Linked DNA regions of Mytilus edulis. The protein of the gene in region 1 interacts with the protein of each later gene in a pairwise test. Links are inferred from orthologs where the notes say so. Each region holds a gene or a part of one and is shown in the gene's direction. Other genes may lie near its edges. The genes, in order: fasciculation and elongation protein zeta-2-like and short coiled-coil protein B-like.

The links.
Region 2: the proteins of fasciculation and elongation protein zeta-2-like (region 1) and short coiled-coil protein B-like interact in a two-hybrid assay, tested with the Caenorhabditis elegans proteins (2 studies listed by BioGRID). The link is inferred for Mytilus edulis from reciprocal best matches to the Caenorhabditis elegans genes unc-76 and unc-69.

The regions. Positions count from the first base shown.
Region 1 is NC_092346.1:56,390,009-56,397,603, forward strand, and holds the start of fasciculation and elongation protein zeta-2-like, read left to right. Parts: upstream 1-4,312; 5' UTR 4,313-4,535; coding exon 4,536-4,849; intron 4,850-7,595.
Region 2 is NC_092351.1:56,891,633-56,899,807, forward strand, and holds the start of short coiled-coil protein B-like, read left to right. Parts: upstream 1-4,995; 5' UTR 4,996-5,110; intron 5,111-7,023; 5' UTR 7,024-7,071; coding exon 7,072-7,135; intron 7,136-8,175. Other genes in the region: uro-adherence factor A-like, read right to left, coding at 3,325-3,461.

The DNA.
Region 1 (7,595 bases):
GTATTGAAAAAAACAAATTCCAAGGCTATTTTAAAAAAAGGGAAACCCATTCAAACTGATAAAATCAAAGAATACTGAATTTTACCCGACCTGTGGATCCTGTTACTCTGTGGTTGCTGAGACAAGTCAAAGTTTATATAAAATAAGAATGATAACCAACGAGTCAACCACCAGAGAATAAAACATATAGACATAGCATTAAAATGTCACTGTATGGCATTCAAAAATGAATAATACTCATACAATATAATTGAAAAACTCACATGACAAAATGTTAAACTTTTCAAACTAAAAAAAAAGTTTCAACAAAATAAACGACCAAGGACCACAACTTAATTACATGCTCCTGACTAGGGACAGATGCATTCAAAATGCAACTAGATTAATATATAAATATATGATATTGCCAATAAGACAACTCGACACAAGAGACCAAATGACACAGAAATTAACTGCTATAGGTCACTGAAAACCCTTCAACAATAAGCAAATTCCATATTTGCAAATCTCTATTGTTCACTCACATGGGACAGTGGTGTGTAAAGGCACAACTTGAATGATCTTAATAATGACAAAATTTGTTAAATAGTGAGCTAGTTAAAAACCAGTTAAAACATAAATTAATCATGTTACATTGGTTTGAACCGTTAATTACATTGAAAACAACATTCTGGGTGCAATCGCACACAGTACATTACATGTTTCTTCTCATGAGAGTGCCAGATTGCTTTATACTGATATAATTTGAACAAATATTTAGCATGGGTGTAGAATTTTCATTATTTTATTGAAACAACAATTCTATGGTTATCAAATATCAAAGCGTTATCATTTATAAGCAGTCTCAAACTCAAAAAAGCAAAACTTAAGACATGCTATTTCCATTGTCGATGAAACAAAATTAGTTAATGATTAGGTCAGTTTAAAGAGAACCACTCAATTATACTCTTGTTATGCAGATGAATTGGCATTGTCACATCTCATTTCCATTGAGTTTATGTTGCTCCACCTGTCTATTATGGTATTGACAGAATGTTGCAAAGTTTATGATATGAATATTAACCAAGTTAATGTTAATATTTGGTATGCACTTGTCTTATCATTTGCAAGTCAACACTCCAATTAAGATTAAATGGCTCAAACTATATCATGTTAAAGCAACATGGTCACTATTTTTCAGAGACAAGACTTGGCAGACATAGGACTTCCTACAGTCTGTCTTTGTATGTGTCCAAGTAAAACTTTATAAATGACATCAATATCTCTGTCAAACCTTGATCATAAGACTTTTTGAATGCTCAAAAGACACTGTCCGGGGTAAATTTTGAAAATCATTTTTATACGACCGCAAAAATTTTAATTTTTTGGTCGTATATTGCTATCACGTTGGCGTCTGCGTTGTCGTCCGAATACTTTTAGTTTTCGCACTCTAACTTTAGTAAAAGTGAATAGAAATCAATGAAATTTTAACACAAGGTTTATGACCACAAAAGGAAGGTTGGGATTGATTTTGGGAGTTTTGGTCCCAACATTTTAGGAATTAGGGGCCAAAAAGGGCCCAAATAAGCATTTTCTTGGTTTTCACACTATAACTTTAGTTTAAGTGAATAGAAATCTATGAAATTTTGACACAAGGTTTATGACCACAAAAGGAAGGTTAGGATTGATTTTGGGAGTTTTGGTTCCAACAGTTTAGGAATTTAAAAGGGCCAAAAAAGGGCCCAAATAAGCATTATTCTTGGTTTTCGCACAATAACTTTAGTATTAGTAAATAGAAATCAATGAAATTTAAACACAAGGTTTATGACCATAAAAGGAAGGTTGGGTATGATTTTTGGAGTTTTGGTCCTAACAGGTTAGGAATAAGGAGCCCAAAGGGTCCAAAATTGAACTTTGTGTGATTTCATCAAAAATTGAATAATTGGGGTTCTTTGATATGCCGAATCTAACTATGTATGTAGATTCTTAATTTTTGGTCCAGTTTTCTAATTGGTCTACATTAAGGTCCAAAGGGTCCAAAATTAAACTTAGTTTGATTTTAACAAAAATTGAATCCTTGGGGTTCTTTGATATGCTGAATTTAAAAATGTACTTAGATTTTTAATTTAATATTGGCCTAGTTTTCAAGTTGGTCCAAATGGGGGTCCAAAATTAAACTTTGTTTGATTTCATCAAAAATTGAATAAATGGGTTCTTTGATATGCCAAATCTAACTGTATGTAGATTCTTAATTTTGGTCCAGTGTTCAAATTTGTCTACATTAAGGTCCAAAGGGTCCAAAATTAAACTAAGTTTGATTTTAACAAAAATTAAATTCTTGGGCTTATTTGATATGCTTTATCTAAATATGTACTTTGATTTTTGATTATGGGCCCAATTTTCAAGTTGGTCCAAATCAGGATTCCATATCAAGTATTGTGCAATAGCAAGAAATTTTCAATTGCACAGTATTGCACAATAGCAAGAAATTTAATTGCACAATATTGTGCAATAGCAATTAATTTTCAATTGGAGTTATCTTTCTTTGTATAGAATAGTAGTTGATAATATATGTTGGAAATTTGCCAGACATGACTATGATGTCATTTTCTATTTTTATTTGCCAATAACTTTATGTAAATAACTTCATTGGAAATTTGCCAATATAAAATGTTGCTGATGAAGCTTTTTTTCCTTATCTTATCTAAAATGTTTTTAGATAATGTATGTTGGACATTTGCCAGACATGACTATGATGTCATTTTCTATTTTTATTTGCCAATAACTTTATGTAAATAACTTCATTGGAAATTTGCCAATATAAAATGTTGCTGATGAAGTTTTTTTTATTGTTTTATACAATAAACAATGTATATTCACTTTTACTACCAACCAATCTTTACCATTCAGTGATAACAAGCACTTTATTTTACATTTTAATATTTTATGATGTATTTAAAAGAGTAGTTATTGTTGCAAACTCCATTAGAAATTTGAATTGATATCAGTTTTGGAAAAAGGAAAACGGTGATGTGAAAAAAAGGGGGGGGGGGGTTAAATTTTTCTCATTTCAGATTTCATAAATAAAAAGAAAATTTCTTCAAACATTTTTTGAGAGGATTAATATTCAACAGCATAGTGAATTGCTCATAGGCAAAAAAAATTAGTTAGTTCATTAGACCACATTCATTCTGTGTCAGAAACCTATGCTGTGTCAACTATTTAATTTTAGATTTAAAAAGTTTGAAGAAGAAATCTTTAATTGATTTGTAAAATCTTGACATTTGTTTTGTGTAAAAAAAAAACCATGTTATGTCAAAAATTTGATCACAATCCAAATTCAGAGCTGTATCACGCTTGAATGTTTTGTCCATACTTGCCCCAACTGTTCAGGGTTCGACCTCTGCGGTCGTATAAAGCTGCGCCCTGCGGAGCACTTGGTTGTTAATTTTTTCCCTATTTTACTGTTAAATTGACTCAGCTTTTTCACAGTTTAATAACAGTAAGTTGCATGAAATGGTTAATTTTTTTCAAGACACTTCTTTTTTTCAAGCCTTTATGGAAAGAAAATTGGACTGTCTTGAAAGACTTTCGTTGTCAAAAGATATTGTATCATGTCCAGCCTAAAATTTGAATGAATTTTTTCTCTTCTATTTTCTGAAAAATAGATCAAATCTTTTAGCAGTTAACTTTTGTTTAACATTTTGGGTTAAAGTTTTTTTTTCTCAATATAGTGTGGACACAGATAAGTTTGGATAGTAATTAATTTATAATGTTTGTATACAATTAAAATAAGATGTGGTTTGATAGCCGATAAAACGACTCTCCAATAATCTACAAAAAATATTTGGCACTCACCGTAGACTCTCAAACTATATATCAGCTCAATATGAGAAGGAGTTTAGGAAACTAGTCTGTTCATTGCATAATATGACACGAGGGTTTAACAATATGACCCCAACTGCTAAGATGGTCTGCCACGAAAACTGGTCGTCAAGATATAGTCTGCATGGTTAATAGTGAATGAATTGGTGATAAAATAAACAATCCCTCCCACATTATTATAATTGGAATTCGAGAATCTGAAAATTAGATAAGCCAGTCAATGTTTTGAAACATATGATTTTTATTTGACGAGACCCCTTTTTGTGTCGATTGACCAAGTGATGTTGGCAAAATATAAACGTCAAAACATTCTTTGCACATCTTATGATTACTGAGGAAATATTTGTATTACATTATATCAGAGACCTTTATGTCTCTGTTTATATTGTAGACAAAATCAAGATAAAATATTTGTGAAAGGAGCCACTTGTTTTGTCTTTCTATGGCCGTGTCTATTAATAAATTGTGAAAATTTATTTTACATTTCAGCTTCAGCACAGGCACCTTTCTCTCGAAAATAATTTTCCTTTATAGCTTAAGAGATCCAAATAGTACCGTGCACATGATTTTTTCAGACAAGTGCCTGTGTTGAGTTGTCTTTCTTCTAATGAAATGAACACTTCAGTCTAAATAAAAAAATTATCTAAAAGGTGAAGGTCAGAGATGTCAGGATGCGGGGAATGAAAATGGCGGAGCTACATTTCGAGGCTCCACTTGCAAAATTTGAGAATGAGGAACTTGCAGAGTATAGTGATTTTCAAGGTGTAAGTGAAACAAGTAGCCTTTTAAACACGGACATGTCAACTGCTCATGAAGAAAGTGAACATTCTGAAAACTTCGCGGAAACGGTGTCTGAATCATTGGAAGATTTGGTGAATACATTTGATGAAAAAATCACAAAATGTTTCTGCAATTTCGAGGACAAAGTAGATCATATAGCTCCAGTTCAAGTTAGAACACAAGAGGAGGTAGTTAAAGATTGCCAGTAAGTATTTGCTACTAACAGATCAAGAGTTTATGTGTCATGATCAAAACAAAAAAAGACAACCTCATCAGACAACAGTTTGGGTGCTGTGGAACATTGACATTGTCATAAAATATAATAGGGACTATAATAGTTATGATTACACAGCTTCAGGTTGGACAATAGCCCTGAACAGCCCAAATAATGCATAGGACATTTTAGAATATTTATATGAGATGTTCATGAGGTTGGGAACAAATCCTCTACATGGTTATCCATCTATAGAAGGATTATTCCTCTATACAAGACTAATCACCATATACAAATGTAAAGGGTTCGTTCGCAACCTGTTCATTTTCAACCTGCTAAAAATAATGATTTATGAATTTTAAAAGTCAAAACAGATCATGAATATGATACTAGATTATGTATGTACTAATAGATTCCTTCATTATTCTGAGCAACCCTCAAGGGTACAGTGGAATTTGTGTAGAGGAGATACATGTGTCACTTACATATTTTCAACGATATTTACAAGGACAAATTATCCTGGCCCAATGCCTACTCACAGGTAGTGATGGGACATCGGAAAGTCTTTTATTGGCGGAGGCCAAAGTACTTGAACAAAGTGACTGCAGGAACAGACGAACTGAAGAGATATCAGTCGATTGATCTTCAGGTCAAAGTTAAGGGCAGCTTTGACCAACAGTGGCCCCCAGAGTACCCATTTTAGTTTAAACACCAGTCTGGGTCCCAAGGACCACAAACCCACACTAGATTACCCCCTCTAAAATGTTATTTGGTTTGTTTGTCAATATGATTTAGGTAGATGGGCAATCTTATTTTATTTTAGATACATATACTGACATTTCTGGTATTTAGGTTTTTATTCCTTATGGTGCCTGTATTTATCAGGTATTTAATTTTCATTGAACTGGTTCACATTTTTATTCAGGGGCCAGTTGAAGGCCTCCTCTGGGTGCGGGATTTTCTCATGGTGTTGACGATCCATCTGTGACCTTCCTCTGTTATCTGCTATTTTGTTGGGATGTTGTCTCTTTGACATATTCCATAGATCCATACTTAATTTTATTTATTTGATAAATATATAAGAAATTAAATATACATGTATAAATATTAGAATTTGCTAAAAAAAATACAAAAAAACAACAACATGGAAATAGATTAAGTTTAATTGCTTGTTTTATTGGCTTCATTGTTACATTTTTTAAATTTAGAATTTGTTTAAGTTACAGTTGATTGTAATTTAGAATAAGAAAACTGGAATGATGATTATAAATAGATGCATTTGATCTCACTTTTTGCATTATCAATTGTCTTTACATTGTAGTGGTTTTATAAATAAAATAACAATTTTTAAAAGTAAACTACTTCATTGTGTAATGTTGAAGGCAATACAGTGGACTATTCATTTTGTGTTGGCTACTATCAGTATCACATTTTAAATCAGCTGGTGGATCTACTTGTCTCATTGGCTATTATATAAAATGCTCTATTAAATGATATATTTTACTACTATAACAAAACAAAATAAGAATCAGGGTGAATTTTTTTTTTTAGTTTGTATCTTTTTGTTAAAATGTTCTTAACTGTACATGTAAATTGTGTTTATATACAAGTCAGTATTTAGTATACATTTTGAAGTTTCCCATATTTTTTATGGTGTATGCAAACATGGCTATCCAAAGTAAAAGACATACTGTCTACCTTCAGTTTTGTTTGCCTGGTTTTATGCAAAGGTATTCATATAAAATTACTCTCTAAGACAGAATTTACAGAGTTCCAGAAAAAAAATTCACATGTCAGTTACATGTATTTGTAACTCTATAATCAGGTGTTATCTTGGAAATTTGTTATGATTGACACTCGTTATATGCTAGAATGGGAGTATATCAAAGAGACATCAACCTGTCAGACTAGAAAGCAAATAATAGGGACCAATGTGTCTTCAATTGGCTTCAGCTAGTCACTAAACAATAATGTACATATAAACTGTTTCAGTGAAATGGACCCAATACTGAAGTTCAAAACATACAAATGAACCAAAATTAAAAAAAAGCACAAGACTAACAGAGGCTAGAAGTTCCTGACTTGAGAGCTTGGGGCAAAAATGTGGGTTTTAGTATTTCAGCACAAACATGGTTATAGTATGTACAGGTAAACATGATAATTTCATAATTTTGCAGTTTTAAACTATTGTGTAAAAATCATTACTTAAAAACAATATATAAGTCAAGCAGATGCAATATGATGTTTTTATTAAAACTACAGTCATTTTTATAAATTTTCTGTTTACAAAACTTTGAATTTTTTGAAAAACTAAGGATTTTCTTACCCCAGGAGTAGATTAACTTAGCCGTATTTGGCACAACTTTTTGGAATTTTGGGTCCTCAATGCTCTTCAACTTTGTATTTATTTGGCTTTTTGAACTATTTTGATCTGAGCGTCACTGATGAGTCTTATGTAGACAAAACGCGCGTCTGGCGTATAAAATTATAATCCTGGTACTTTTGATAACTATCAAATAATCAAAACAAAAATAGTCTTAAAATTAATGGTTATTTTGGTACTGAAATATATCGGATCAGACATTGGTACAAGTGAATAGCTAATATCTGTATCAGAATCACCTACTTCATAATTTTTCAAATTGTCCAATGGTCAAGCATATTCTGAATTATTGTGTTTTGCATGTTAGGTAACACCATTGAAAAGTGTTTGGATAGTTATATCCTATTATTGGTT
Region 2 (8,175 bases), on another chromosome or scaffold:
CAGACTGCACTCTAGTATGACTCATAAGCAAATGTAGATACTTTAAAATCACTTGGATACAAAATAGAGTATTTGGACAGTCATCTTAACATGTAAAACATTGGCAACATCTTTTATTATATATAGACTCTTTTTCAATAAATTGTTATCGCATCATATTGCCTTTTTTTAATAAAATATTTGCCACTGGATATCAAGATCTCAACAATCAAAAATAAATCAATCAATCAATCAATTAATAGTTTCTATATCAATTAAGATCCATGTCAGGTTTTTTTTCAATTTAACTAAAATTCTGTCTTTGTCTTCTTGTATTGTTAGCCTCTCCTTTTAACTCTTATTTTAGCAAATATATTCAAATATGTTCATTAAAATAAAATCTCAACCTTTAATTTAAGCAAGCAACTACAGCAGTATTTTTGAATGAGTCTCTTATCTCCAAAACTTGGTATTTAGCATCATTAATGCTAAAACTGAAATGTATAACAGTTTATCTTTTAAAAAAAAAATTGAAGATAAGTTACAATCAAATAAAACTCATCAAAAGTTACATAAACCAAATGTATCATGTTGATAGCAACATACAATTTTTGAATAATTTTAAGAATGTTTAAGTTTCAAGTTTGATTCATTTGACCTACAGGATATTTTGAATTTAAAATCAATTATTTATTACATAATTTCATAAATCCAGCTAAGTGTGATCAAATGATCTATCGATAATTTTCTTATAAACTATACTGTCTTTTGATTATGAATAAATTTTTCAAGTTTTGTCAGAATTGTAAAAAAAAATTCTAATGGCTTTTAACAATGAGCATGATGAGTAGATAATGTAATTCATGTAATTGGAATTAGGATTTTATTTAAAAATTATAAAAAAGAAGATGTGGTATGATTTCCAATGAAGCAACTGTCCACAAGAGACCAAATGACACAGAAATTAACAACTATCATGACTATAGGTCACTGTAAGTCCATATGTGTCAATTGAATAAATAACTAAAAAAACCCATGTTAAATGTAAATTTCATATGACATGGTCAGTATATATCAACAATGAAAATCGATTAAATGGACGTTTGTCATGTCAGTTTCGATCAATCTTTCTGTAAACTTATCTATAATTTAATCAGAATTAAGTTATTGACAAGTTCGTTCCTAAACAACTTCATTAGGCGATAAAAATTGTATCAAAGACCACCATCAATTGTCAACTCTGGAATCGGAAATGAAGTTACATGAATGGACAAGATTCTAAGTATTGTCTTCGTAAATATAATCTCTAATCAAAGAGAATCGGACAATTGTGTCATTCAAACAGAAACCAATGACCGTTCGTAACAGTATTGTTTATTCTTGCAATACTATTATAAAAGAGGGTTTCAATAATCTGATTATGTCGTTAATAAATGGATTTTTCAGTGAAAATGATTTGCAAATCAATAGATGTCCGCTTCATCAAAGATGTTTTTCCCCTTTTATGAAGTTTTTATCTGTTTAATCTAGAAATTTTTGTTATTTGTTCTCTCAATGTGTTAGTGTCATGAAAGAAAGAGGAAAGCTGTGTTTAAATGTAGATAAACTTTTCCCATGTTATACTATTGATTTCTAAGACATAGAATTGTATAGTACACCAAGCACAACTTTTAAATTCTTTTGAGATTTGAAACAGATTCCTTAATTCTTTTCTTTTATTTTTGGAGTGGAACAGACATTGAAAATAGGGAGATTAAAAGACAAAGTTTTTAATACTGATGATAATTCAAACAGATTCTTTTTCTTTCTTTTAATTTCTGGAGTGGAACAGACTCAGAAACTTGGTAAATGGCGAGATTTGTAGAAAACCTTTTAATGCGGACAAGATTTCAAGCAGATTCTTTTTCTTTTCTTTTTATTTTTGGAGTGGAACAGACTCAGAGACTTTGTAAATGGAGAGATTCGTAGACAACCTTTTAATACTGACAAGATTTCAAGCAGATTAATCTTTTTCTTTTCTTTTTATTTTCGAGTGGAACATAACATTGTAGATTAAAAGATGGAGTTTTAAACATTGTCGAGATTTGAATCATCATTCCTTTTCTTTGACATTTTATTTTCTGAATGAACCATACCTAGGGAGATTAAAAAAGATAGAAACCACAAACTATAATGCCATCATCTAAAATATTTTAAGTGCACATTGGACTAAGACTAGTGCAATTTTGTAACAATATCATTTAAAATCTTTTTATCTTAAGATAAAATAGTAATTCAACCTGACAAGTCTTTGTTGAAGATTGAGTGAAGGCCATAAGGATGACTGAGAATATCAAAGAGCAATTCTGAGAAGTAAAACAAAAAATTGTTCACAAATATTCCTAGGTCCTGCACCTTCGTTTTAACGGAGTTAGATTACATGTGTTGTAATTGCATTTACATGTACCAAAAAACTTATAATATACATTTATATAAAAAATAACGAGATGTGGTATGATTGCCAATGAGCATGATGAGACATATTTCTACCATTTGTCTACCAGAGACCAAAGAAATAGAAGTTAACAACTATAGGATACAGTATGGCCTTCAACAATGTGCAAAACTCATACCACATCAGGGATGGGCACGATTACTGACAAATGTAATCGATTAATAATCGATTACATGAATAATCGATTACATGAAGGATTTTTGTGCAATCGAATAATCGATTACTCAAATTTTAGTATGTAATCAATTACAATTGATTACGATTACAGATTACGATTACCCCATCCCTGTACCACATAGTCCACTATAAAAGGATTAATGTTGGATTTCTCTATAAAATTGTTGCTAATGTGGTCATGGTGGTCCTCATGACATGCCAGGCTCTTTTAAAGCTTTCTATATACATTACAGTGTGTTTTTATACATAACAAGTTTGGACAGTGACTTATGGTTGTCAACATCTTTGTCTTTTGTTTTCTATTGGAAAGTTGTCTCTTTAGCAATCACTCCACATCTCCTTATCTTTATATTTACCATTTTTAAAAAATTCAGATACGGTATGCAACTCATACTGTTTGAAACAATTGTATAACCTAGTCATACATGTATTGCTACATGTATATTGCGTAGCTTCATCTAATATACCAGTGCAGAACTGCTACTGTTTATATGCCGTAACAAAATCTATTGGCACAACCCTAGTGAGTAAGACATTGGCAAACTTCCATTGAAACCCCTTACATGTGCATTTTGCTTAATCTATCAACCAGAGGGGAAAAGGGGGGAGGGGGGGGGGGGGGGGGGGGGCGGCAAATGGAAGTCTTTCTAGGACATCACCTGCCCAACACCTACCTTAGATAATAAATGCGTCCCTGCTCTGCCACCAACTTTGCCTCCCACTCGTCAGGTAGTTCATTGTTAATCCTTTGCAGTATATTATCACAACACGACATAGTGATGGCATAGTCGGAGTTTACTTTGTCAATCATATGTTAGCCTTGACATACAGATGACATACTCTATATTCCAAAGCCTTACATAAAGATACAGCTACAACTTAAAATCCAAAAAGAAAATTCCTACAATATAGAAAAGAATCTGATTTTGAAAAGTTTGCAAAATGAAAATCAGTGTATTAAAATAAATATAGCCTTTCGAATAATATACATATAAAATGACCCAAAAAACCAGATGTTATAAATATTACATGTAGATTATTTCCCAAGACATTCTAAAATCTCCTATTCATTCATTTCATTTTATCCAGGTCTGCCTAAGGGGAGGATTTGCATTGTACGTCTCAATTGCTATACAAATCATTGGCCAGCCTAATTAATGTCTTAATTACAAGTAAACTTTTATGTAAACTTCAAAGGTGTTGCTGTCTCCTTGGTATACTCTGAGACTACTATAACACATGTGTTAATTATAGTAGTCTCAGGTATACTATTTGACACTAAATATATCTTAATTCTGTTTGCATGGTTTGTATATATATGTATTTTACATTCATTATTATGATAAAAAAATAATATCCATCATGACTATTCAGGTTATTTAAGGTACAAATGTACATTTGTAATTATTTAAAATCACAAAGTGCAATATTAAGAACTTTATCATACACTTACATTTTTAGTACATGACATAGTAGCAACACATGTACAATAAGAGAGTCATTTATAACTATATAATAATAATTTCTGCAAACTAAGATAGCATCAAGAAATCATAAAAAATCTGATGGATAACTGGATATAAGAGTATAGTTAAAAAAATAAGTTAAAGTGTACCTGTTCCAAGAAAGTTAACCTCAAATTACCTTGTTTGAATAGGATATCCCAAAACATGTACTATATCCACTTATGTTCTTATCTATTAACCTTTTTTTTTCCAGTATGGTTACTCAGTAAGCCTGCTTCAATTTTTCTTGGCTTATGAAAACATCTAACACCGTCCAATCCAATCAACTTATTTAGGTAACAATTAAAACTGTCCCCTCTCTAAATCAGCTGTAATGTGTATTATTATTTTGAGTATTACCAACCAATGGCCCATTAAATTGTTAATTAACACATCGGTGTTGTTAGGAGAGAATCTTGCCTAAGGCAGCGCGAAGATATATTATTATAAACTACTGTCAGAAATAATTCACCTGGCCATAAAAAGCACATGTTTCAGGTAATCTGTGTCAGAATATACCTGTAAATTCATTAAATACCTAATGATTGTAATAATTACGTCTATTAATTAAATAACGACATGAAACATACACCAAATATGACTTAAATACACAACTTTAGAAAGTTTCTTTAAAAAATTGATTATTTTTCTCTCACCTGTTCCGAAGTTTATTCCATCAATGCTTTATTTTTGCATTTTAAATAAATGTCAATTTGTTATACTTCGACTTTTGAAGAAAATATCCAAATTTGTTATTCAACATGTTTTAAAAAGTTTTAGATATTGTTTTTCATGCACTTTTTCTTCTGTTGACAGGTTGAATGAATTCGTGTGTGAACGAGTACCTGTTGTGTGACGTCACTGTCATGTGACTATTGAAAAAATGGAGAAACGGAAGTAGATTTTGGAAATATCAACAAACAGTTATTTCACTTATTTGATATAATTTCTTAAGGTATCACTGAAATTAACTATCAATTAGATGCAGGAGACATATTTTGTACTTAGCCTTTTGTGTCTGCATTATATTATATTTAGAAGAACGATTTTCCTGACGAATAATGTGATTCAGAAATCACATTATTTATTCAGCATCCCACTAACAGTTATTGATGCACTGAGTGAACACTCACGACATATATACATTTGCATTTTGAAATTTGCTTAATCAGTTATATAATTTATCACATCATTAACCTGTTTTATTATATACAGTAGACAATTGTTACTATATGACATATGTTTAGCACATACAATATTTTTTAAATTATGTATTCATGGGACAAGCACTTGGTAATTTGGTAGATCCAACCGGTATCAGGTTAACTTGCCCTGATTACATGTTCGCCCTAGGTTAGTTCAATTGAGATAACTAATTTATGTACAAATAATGATTGAAAAAACAGAAATGTAACACATAAACAAATTAAACGACCACTGAATTACAGGCTCCTAACTTTGGACAGGCATGAATGTTTTTATATTGTTAAAATGCATCAATAAAAATGAATAAATACAGATAACTTAGTCTTTTTTTTTTATATTAAATATCTTGTAGTCCTGGAATTCACAGAAACTTATTTCCTGGTAGAAGATAGACAACATAATACATCATAAATAAATATTTGGTGAAATTGTAGACACACGTTTTAAACATATTCAAATGTATACACACAATGCAATATAACCCAAGATCACCGTGTATGGACTCAGGACGAACAGGAGTTAGGGCAAACAGGAACGGGCTAGAATCAGGGCGAACGGACCAAAGAAGTGTGAACAGCCTAAATCATTGTGTGCCTGCAAACAAATAAAATTAACAGTATGATTCATACAAAAGTTTTTTATGTTATTTTGTTGACCATGATCTTAATTTATAACATTCCGAATAACATTGAAACTCCTAAGGTAACATAAAACTATAAAATGGCTTCATGTTCTTTAAATTAAGATGTATTAAGGTGGTACCCAACACTTTTAACTAAAACTAATTTGGCTCGTTTAATTTTCATAAAATTTTGACAAAGCATTTACTTTGACCCTTTGACCAAAATATAAAAAATTCAAAAAATTTGAACCAACCATTTAATCAGAAAAATTACAGTGGTTATATAGCAGTTTGACAAACACTTATTTTGATCATTGAGAAGATATTCCCTTAACAACACAATGTTATTAAAACGTTTAGCTGATTTTACGAAGTTATCTCCCTGTAGTGTTAGGTATCACCTTAAGTGAGAGACTTATCATACACATGATTGACAAATAAGCAAATCTTGTGATATCGTGGCCCTTAATACATGTATTTCATAGAAGAAGGTTGGGTATGAATTGAAACTTAACATGTCAAGCAATACAATAGATATTTTAGTACAAAATATACATGTAACAAATGATTTGAAAAATGAGGAGGGTGTCATATTATATTTCAATAGAAAGTTTAAGTATGGTCATAAAATAGAGTTGCCCATCTCTTTATTTCATGGACCCATCATATTTTCAAGGAGAACAAATTTAAACACTAGCATTTTTTAATTGTAGACTAGAGTTATTGACATGTCATTTTGCGACATTTCAATGTGTTAAGGTGGTACCTAAAATTAATTTGGCTCGTTTAATTTTCATTAAACTTTGACAATGTATTAACTTTGACCCTTCAACAAAAACATAAAAATTTCAAACCAACTGTTTTGTCAGAAAAATTACACTGGTTATATAGCAGTTTGACAAACATTTATTTTGATCGTTGAGAAGCTTAATATTCCCTTTACAACACAACGTAATTAAAACCTTTAGCTGATTTTACAGAGTTATCTCCCTGTAGTGTTAGGTACAACCTTAACAAATTAATTCTGTGTGTATTTACAGGATACTCAACTGACTATTTTAGTGGTAGAATTTGTCAAGACTTTAATCATGTCTGGGGAAGGCATGAAAGAAGATTTATACAGTGTCCCATTGTCAAGTGACAGTGACACAGGTGTGTATCAGAGTACAACATTAATGTCAACATGTTATGATACAAGTTCCTGCAGGAGGCACTAGCCCATGTTTCTGTAAAAAAATATTTTATGCCCCACTTTAGGTCTGTGCATTTGATATTCAGTCTGACATCTGTCTGTTTGGCTTCAGGTTAGACAATTTGTTAGAGTTAGTGTTTGATGAAGTTGAAGTCTTATCAAATTGAAACTTAGAACACATGTTCCCTGTGATATGATATTTCTAATTTTATGCCAAATCAGAATTTTAACCCCAATTTAACGGTCTATTGATATTGAACATAGAAAATGATAGCGGGTGTTTGGCATCTATGTTATATGGACACAATCTTGTTGAAACTTTGATGAGCATATGCACAACAGCTTTGAAAAAAAATGAAATAATTATTACCAAATAAAAAGGTTTTAAACCATTATAGCAAACTTGTGCAGATTGATAGGCAGAATTCTGTGTTGTTTGGTTGCTGTCTCAGAAGAATTCTTCACATTCTCTTTTATCAATAGAATCAGAAAATATTTTAATAAAGGCAATAGTAGTATACCACTGTTGATTATTTATAAATCAATTTAACTGAAACAAAATGGAGTCACAAACAAAAACTGAGGGAAACACATCAACAATTAGAAGAAGAAAAAAACAGAACAACAGAAACACCAAACTTCTAAAAAAAAAAAACGGCAACATTACATAGAAACAGACTATTTGATAACAACCTTCATCTTCCAGACTTGGTACAGGACATTTTAAGAAAAATAGTGGGTTGAACCTGGTTTAATGGCTAGCCAAACCTTACACTTATGCGATGCTAAAATGACAACATTTCATGAAATATGATAAACAGTAAAACTCTATTATTTTCTTTATAATCTGTACATAATTTACACATGTCACTATAATAAATAATTTACTTACTTACTTATACCAGCTTGCAAATTAAATTGCATGTAGAAAATAGTAGTGCACTTTTAATGAGAGTTGTTTTGCAAGATATTGCTAAAAAAAATAATTAATAAAATAAGT